2 linked regions of the Xenopus tropicalis genome follow. The protein of the gene in region 1 binds, or shares a complex with, the protein of each later gene. Links are inferred from orthologs where the notes say so. Each region holds a gene or a part of one and is shown in the gene's direction. Other genes may lie near its edges. The genes, in order: nbr1 and gabarapl1.

What was found.
Region 2: the proteins of nbr1 (region 1) and gabarapl1 are in contact, whole or in part, in an NMR structure (PDB 2L8J), measured with the Homo sapiens proteins. The link is inferred for Xenopus tropicalis from reciprocal best matches to the Homo sapiens genes NBR1 and GABARAPL1. Residues at the interface, in NP_005890.2 of Homo sapiens: Ser729, Glu730, Asp731, Tyr732, Ile733, Ile734, Ile735, Leu736; in NP_113600.1 of Homo sapiens: Glu12, Tyr13, Lys16, Glu17, Lys20, Ile21, Lys24, Tyr25, Arg28, Pro30, Lys48, Tyr49, Leu50, Val51, Pro52, Phe104.

What each region holds. Positions count from the first base shown.
Region 1 is NC_030686.2:19,621,302-19,625,122, forward strand, and holds part of nbr1 (next to BRCA1 gene 1 protein), read left to right. Parts: intron 1-605; exon of another isoform or gene 606-654; 5' UTR 655-664; coding exon 665-766; intron 767-1,747; coding exon 1,748-1,810; intron 1,811-3,670; coding exon 3,671-3,689; intron 3,690-3,821. UniProt on the Homo sapiens protein: Ubiquitin-binding autophagy adapter that participates in different processes including host defense or intracellular homeostasis.
Region 2 is NC_030683.2:18,818,244-18,822,516, reverse strand, and holds the start of gabarapl1 (gamma-aminobutyric acid receptor-associated protein-like 1), read left to right. Parts: upstream 1-1,470; 5' UTR 1,471-1,553; coding exon 1,554-1,643; intron 1,644-4,273. UniProt on the Homo sapiens protein: Ubiquitin-like modifier that increases cell-surface expression of kappa-type opioid receptor through facilitating anterograde intracellular trafficking of the receptor. Involved in formation of autophagosomal vacuoles.

The sequences.
Region 1 (3,821 bases):
AATGCAAATAAAGTTCTGTCTTGCTGGTTGGATTGTCAAGGTTGGGGTTGTTTTCTCTGGGGAGAAAAGGTGCTTGCGAGGGGACATGATTACTCAGTACAAGTACATTAGAGGGCATTATAGGCAGATAGGGGATGTTCTTTTTAGATTGGAGGAACGGAACTTTCATTTGAAGCAGCATAAGTGAGGGCAGTGAAGGTGAGGGCAGTGAGGTTGTGGAATGCCCTTTCCAGTGATGTTGTGATGGCAGATTCTGTTAATGCCTTTAAGAGGGGCTTGGATGATTTATTAAACAAGCATAACTATCCAAGGCTATTGTGATAAAATCTACAGTTAGTATTGATGTTGGTATATATGGTTTATGTATTTGAGTGTATAGATAGGTCAGTATAAGTTTGTGTGTGCTGGGTTTACTTGGAAGGTTTGAACATGATGGTCTCTGGTCTTTTTTCAACCCAAAGTAACTTTGTGCAGGTATATACAATTGGCATTACAATTTGTATGTATCAGCTCAAGCTAAGTCTATGTTTCCATTGCAGAATTATCAATTCTTGGTAAATGATCAATACTCATTGATTTATTTTGTGTCTTTTCTATGCACGCAGAAATGATACATGACCAGTGAAATGCTTACTAGTGTGATGTGTATTGCAGAGCAGAGAGCATGGAGTTCCAGGTGAATTTGTGTGTGAATTATAATGGAGAATCCCAAAACTTTCTGGTTTCTGACTCTGAAAATACAACTTGGGCTGATGTAGAGACAATGGTAAGTACTGGTAAAACAGATATTGGTATTTATGTAATATTTGGGATAATATGGATGCATTCGCATTTGTAGTCCTGCTAATTCAGCTTAATGTAATAATAGGTGCAAAGTTTGCCCAGGTCTGGTTACCTAAAGCACCCAATCAGCTGATCAGTAATTGCTGCCTGCTGATTGGTTACTATAGGGAACGGACCGTCAAAGTTGCACCTTTTATTACACTTTCTCCTTAGCTTTGAAGACATTTGTTCTTATCCGAGCCGTTAATTGTTATAGATTTGCCCTTCAATGTGTTCCAGTGGTCTATTCATGCATAAGGTAGTGACATTATGCCTGTGTAACCCATATTACCCATAGGCCATTTAGGCTATGTATGTCACAGCGCCCCAGGTAATAGTAATCAGTGTAGGGTTCCACTCATGTCTCAACTTAAATTCAAAACAGGCTATGATATTTTAAAGGAGAGGTAAAAATCACTGGGGGGTGCCAAATGTTAAGCACCCCCAGTGATTGTAATCGCTTACCTTTTAATCCTGTTAGGAGTAAACCGCACCAGCCTGGGGTAGCGATCTTCTTACTTCTTCTGTCTTCACAACGCTTGCAAATGTGCAGTAGAGTGAAAAGCTGAACTTTAACAAGAAAACCAATGTTTTTGCACATGCGCTGACACTGGGTTTTAGAATAATGAAGAGATAGAAGAGGATTGTCTACCGTACCTGTTACACTACCCCGTCTGGTGCTGTTTTCTCCTAACAGGAGCACAAAGGCCACATGGCTAAATGTGCTCTGTGGGAGTTTATAGCAGCCCCTCTGCTAGAGTTTCATAATGTCTGGCTGGGCCTGGTTCCACTGGTAAATTAACCTTGTCCATAAGAGTAAGCACAATATTGTTATATTTAACAACAGAAATAAGAATTATCTCTCCTGTTGTGTAGTTCCTTATATCCTAATGCCAACAAAACCGCTAGTGTTTGTATTTTACAGGTGTGTGTCTCTTATGATCTAAATGGCATCCAAATCAAATACATAGATGAGGATAACGAAGAGGTGAGTTGATTTCATGTATATGCAGCAACATGCACTCAATTAGCCCAGCAATATCCAAGCAGAGGAATACCCCCAAATAATTATATAAATTCTGCACCTCATGTGTTTATATATACATGCCTCCAGAAATATCCTAAGAGCTCATATACTCAGTGGCAAAACAAGAGGGTCAGCCTGATTTGGCCCAGCACGTATGTGGCTACATTGAGAAAAGATCCACTTGTTTGGAAACATGTATTTCACCCCTTTAAAACTGGAAACCCCTTAACTGTCGAAAGAAATCTCACCAAGCGATGCAGCACACAAACTGATTACTACTTAGAAACCTAAAATTCTTGTTTTATTAAATGATGGGGAAATCAACCCTTTAAACAGTACTTTAGAACATCAGTTAATCAAGCCGTCCTTGCCAAAACTTATGTACAGGACCCCATATCCAATTGAGTTTGTACATGCTTCGGGAACTAGGGAGCCATCAGACCAATAAAAGATGGATGCAGTGGTGTTGTATACAGTTTCAAAGGAATGGATTAATACAGCCATCAACTGATATACCTTTAAATTACTACAGGTATAAGAGCTGTTATCCAGAATGTCCGGGGCCCAGGGTTTTCTGGATAAGGGATCTTTCTATCCTTTGGATCTCCAAAACTTAAGTCTGCTAAAAATAATTTAAATATTGAATAAATCCAATAGACTTGTTTTGCCTCCAAAAAGAATTAATTCTATCTTAGTTGGGATCACGTACAAGGTACTGTGTTATAATTACAGAGAAAAAGGAAATCATTTTTAAAAATTAGAATTATTTGCTTATAATGGCCTTTCCTTAATTCGGAACTTTCTGGATAACGGGTTTTTGGAGAAGGGATCCGATACCTGTACTAGTACAGTGTTAAAGGTACTGTACTTCAAGCTTTAGTTCTCTTTTAGGGTACAAAATCTGGCTTTTTAAATTGTGCACTGAGAAATAAACATTAACTGATTTCATCTGTGTTGCAGATCTGTACCCAATGGAGTAGATATCATGTGGCATGGGTACAATGGGCATGGGCAGGTGGAATCACATGGAAATCCACCATAATTCACTTTCAGTTGAAAACACCTGGTGGTACATACCCTTAAATATATGTGATATATTACACACAGCATTGCTTACTTTCAGTAGTTTTCTCCTCCCCCTCATGATGGTATTAAAGGACATGTAATCCCCGCACACAAAAATTTAATCAGTGAAACAGCCTCTTTGAAATCTTTCAATACCTGCCACACTGGTTGTCCAGAGGTTAATAGTAAGGCTGCAACATCTCCTTAATCACTTCGATTTCCTTCTCCTCCTGTAACCCACTTGGCCCTGTCCCTCAGGAATTTGCTTTGACTTCTGGCTTGTGGGTATGCTCAGTTGTTCTAAACTCAGATTACTAAACACGCTCTCCAGTCTAGCAGCCAATGAAGAGATGCATTGCTGGTTCCCATAGAAACTCAGCTCTAGCTGTCTGCTTCAATTTTTTTCTCGTAACTTTCTCGCCTGAGCTCAGCTCAAACAAAGCAGAACTTTTATCTGACAGTTCTGCCTGTGTGAGCCTGTATTGTGGATGAAATGTATGCTGAATAAGGATCTCTGTGTGTGTATGCTGCTTGCAGATTTAAATGTATCTGATTATGTATCAGAGGAAAAATGGCCACCGGGTAAAAGCTACTATTTGCTTTAGGAAAATGTACATGTCCTTTAAACAGGAGAGACAGGGACCCCTATTAGTAAAAGCTTTTGTGCATGATCATGCTATTTTTCAGTATTTATTTTACCTTAGTTGTTTCATTATTCTGTACATACACTAACCTTATCACTTACCTTATTTACAGGTGTCTGTGAACAGTCAAGGTGAGTTTTGTAGTATTTTGAATATTATAATCAGGGGGGCACGGGGGGACAGTTGTCCCGGGCGATCGCGTCGCTTTAAAGAATTATGGGCCCTCGGATCATTGGTGGTCAGCGGGTAACTTGATTGGTTGC
Region 2 (4,273 bases), on another chromosome or scaffold:
GAATGGGAAAGGGTCCTGAATAAAAGACAAGTAATAAAAAGTAACAATAACAATACAACTGTAGCCTTACAGAGCAATAGTTTTTGGCTGCCGGGGTCAGTGACCCCCATTTGAAAGCTGGAGAGAGGCAGAAGAGGAGAAATAATTAAAAAACTATAAGAAATAAAAAATGAAGACAATTTGAAAGTTTGCTAAGAGCTACCCCTTTAAGACTTCTGTCACAGAGAGGAAGTTAAAGGGGATTTCCACCCCTAAAATAGTTTTTTGCATAATGAAAAACAATCCAAATTTCCAGTGCACATTCTGTGATTTTCAAGTTATTTGTAAAGGAAATTTCAGCTAAAAGCTGTGTTTGTTTATCTCTTTCTGTTCTCTGGTTCTGACTCTTGAAACAATGTAGCAGGAGTCAGTTCTCCTCCAGGTCTGCTAATCAGTCGGCTTCTGTTATTGTGTTACCACAGTCAGAACCAGCAGTGCAGAAAAGGTATAAGTCAGTGGTTCTTAACCGTCATAATGCCGCGACCCTTTAATACAGTTCCTCATGTTGTGGTGACCCCCAACCATAAAATGATTCCTAACCCCTGTGAAAGGGTCCTTCGACCCCCAAAGGGGTCCCGACCCACAGGTTGAGAACCGCTGGTTTATCTTTTCCTGTTCTCTGGTTCTGAAACAATGTAGCAGGAGTCAGTTCTCCTCCAGGTCTGCTAATCAGTCGGCTTCTGTTATTTTGTTACGACAGTCAGAACCAGCAGTGCAGAAAGGGTATAAGTCAGTGGTTCTCAACCTTCCTCATGTTGTGGTGACCCCCAACCATAAAATTATTCCTAACACCATCAGAAATATGTGTTTTCTGATGTTCTTAGGCGACCCCTGTGAAAGGGTTGTTCGACCCCCAAAGGGGTCCCGACCCACAGGTTGAGAAGCGCTGGTATAAGTGAAAGTGTGGCTCGGCGCCAGGGAATAGATTATGGGCTACAGATCAATGGCCGGAAGTGGTTATACAGGGACTTTGGCCGCTCTCTGACGCAGGTTAATAATGAGGCCCAGGTCCCTGGCCAGTCGCAGGTTAATAGTGTTATGTACCGCAGTGCTGTACTGTTGTGTCACCTTGCCTTGTGACTCTGGCTTTCACGTGATCCACAGAGAATAAACAGGTGACTCAGACAAACAGGTTTGCGTGTCAATCACTTGCCATGCCCTGTGCCACTGCCTATTTACTATATCTCATCCTGGCCTGCACCCTTCCCACTAACCCCCACCCTAAAAACCCTGGAATATGATTTCAGCGCCTGCGAGCTATAGGGTTCTTTAAACTGAGACTGTTTATTTTTCATTTGTCCTGTCTGGCAGAGAGAAGGTTAATTTCAGCATCCCCCTTTGTTTTGTTCTGCTGGTACTGCCCAGGGGCGGGGCTTAGTGATGTCACATTGCCCTTGCTCAGTACACTGTAACATAGCTTGTTATTGCATCTGCTGAGCAGTAGACAGCGAGGGGCATCAGCTGACTGATATATACATTTATATACTGTATATACACTATCTCCTGGGGCAGCCATGAAATTCCAGTATAAGGAGGATCATCCTTTCGAATACAGGAAGAAGGAGGGCGAGAAGATCAGAAAGAAATACCCGGATAGGGTGCCTGTAAGTAGGGACAGCAGAGCTGTGTCATCTCCCTATGGATCCCACTCTCCATCCCTTGTATCCCTTGTATCTCTCTCCTACCCACACTGTATCCCTGTCCTACCTACACTGTATCCCTTGTATCCCTGTCCTACCCACTCTGTATCCCTTGTATCCCTGTCCTACCCACACTGTATCCCTTGTATCCCTGTCCTACCCACTCTGTATCCCTTGTATCCCTGTCCTACCCACACTGTATCCCTTGTATCCCTGTCCTACCCACGCTGTATCCCTTGTATCCCTGTCCTACCCACTCTGTATCCCTTGTATCCCTGTCCTACCCACTCTGTATCCCTTGTATCCCTGTCCTACCCACGCTGTATCCCTTGTATCCCTGTCCTACCCACGCTGTATCCCTTGTATCCCTGTCCTACCCACGCTGTATCCCTTGTATCCCTGTCCTACCCACTCTGTATCCCTTGTATCCCTGTCCTACCCACTCTGTATCCCTTGTATCCCTGTCCTACCCACACTGCATCTGTACAGCACCCTAATGTCCCCCTGTCAGCACAGATATGGGTTCCCTTAGAGTGAATTCCGACCCAAAAACTGCTTATTGCACAATGAAAGACAATGTAATTCCAAGCGACTTTCCCATGTACATTTGTTATAGTATTTCGGTGTTCGATGTCATTGCTATGGGAAGTACCGTCTGTTCCTATTCTCTGAACTCCTCCTGTGACAATGGAACAATGTAGCAGCCCCTGGGCGGGCAGGACTTCTGCTACATTGTTTCAACTCTGGAAAGGAAGCGGCAGAAAGGGAGAAATTAATGTTAATTTCAACGGCAATTACACTAAGTACAAACCATTAAAATGGAATGTACATTGGAAAGCTGCTTAGAATGACATTTGCTATCAGTGTGCGTAAAACAGGTTTTGGGTGGAGTTCCCCTTTAATTCCTTGGCTTTCTGCTGACGGCACAGAGCTTTGTAGTTGTGCTGTTCCTTCGGTAGGGAGCTTTGTGCTCTCTGCCAGACTTCCTATGGGCCGCAGTCATTGTTAGAGACATCTGTAAGAAAGAAAGCCACTCATTGTCACCTGCCCCTCCTCCGATTCCTGGTCTGTCACCTTCTGCTGCCACTGAAACATGTACTGTCTGTTGCTATGGACTGTCACTGCCACTGCTGCAAAGCCATTGGCTGTCAGCTGCCCCCACTGCAGAGCCACTGACTGTCACCTGCTGCCTTTTCCTTGGCTCATACACTGCCCCCCCCCCCCTGCTATAGATCTGTAGCTTTATACCCCCCTCCCAGGCTACAGCTCCTCATTATATCAGTCCCAGCAGTGCGAGTCCTGCATGTCACTTTCCCTTGGTGCAGAACATTGTCCTGTCTAGTTACTTATTGACTGTCACTTTCCCTAACCGCAGAGCTTGCAGAACCATGTACTGTCACTTATGTAAGCTCTACGGGGCAGGGACCTCCTTCCCACTGTGTCTCATACCACATGGCACTTATATATATATATATATATATATATTGTATTTATTTATTATATCACTTGTCCTCCCTGTGTGTAATTGTGTATATTGTAAGATTTTACAGCGCTGCGTACCCTTGTGGCGCTTTATAAATAAAGTTATACATACATACATACATACTCTGGCTGCAGAGCCTTGTCCTGCCTTGCAAGCGACTATACACACTCGGAGCTACTAGTAGCAGCTACTTTTTCACGGCTCATTAAATGATCAGCATTGTCTAATTTAGTAGCCAAGACAAGTAGCTGCTACTAGTAGTTCTGTGTGTCTTCACCCTAAGAAGGATTTATCTCAAGGTGGGGAGGCATAGGCCTTTCTACAATGCCCATGTTTGTCTTCTTCTCCCAGGGTAAATACATTAGTAATACTAGTCATCAGGGACAGACCTTCTCCTGCTCCCCCCCTGTATATAATAATTACGTTATTGTCCGGTCCCCTGGTCATAAACTGTTATTCACAAGAGCTATGAATATCTTGTAACTGATATCCTTATAAACAGTGCTTAGTGATGTCATTAGTTATAAACGGTGCTCAGTGATGTCATTTGTGTTACATGCAGGGTCGGACTGGGCTGGCAGGACAAAAACGTGGTGGGCCCCACTGGCCCAGAACTGATCCCTGCTGGGCTCTCCGAGGCCCGCAGGTCCCCCTCTCCCAATGTGCCTAAGTATGCACGCGTGGGGGAGGGGGTTGGGTGGGCAGCAGGGGCCCGAGGGTGATGGGGACCATGGTGGAGGTCCCTTGGGGGGGGGGTGCAGAGCCCCCGCGGTGACTTGTCTTACAATTTTGAGTTCCCTGACCTGTATAAAAGTGCTCAGCCTGTGTCCTTGTGCGTTTATATGGCTATGGGTCTCATATGTAACTGTTAATATCCTTGTAATACACAAGAACCATGAGTTTCCTTTAACATATATCCTTATAAACAGTGCTTAATGATGTCTTTGGCCTTGTGTTTTTATATGGTCAAAGTGACTTATAATATCCTTATATTTGTATCTTTCATATAACCAAGAGCTTTAATGTGGATTCTATAAAATGTTAATATTTATACATTATAGAAGAGATTGCAGGGCTAATTAGTAATCTATCCCCCATATGTTATACAAGG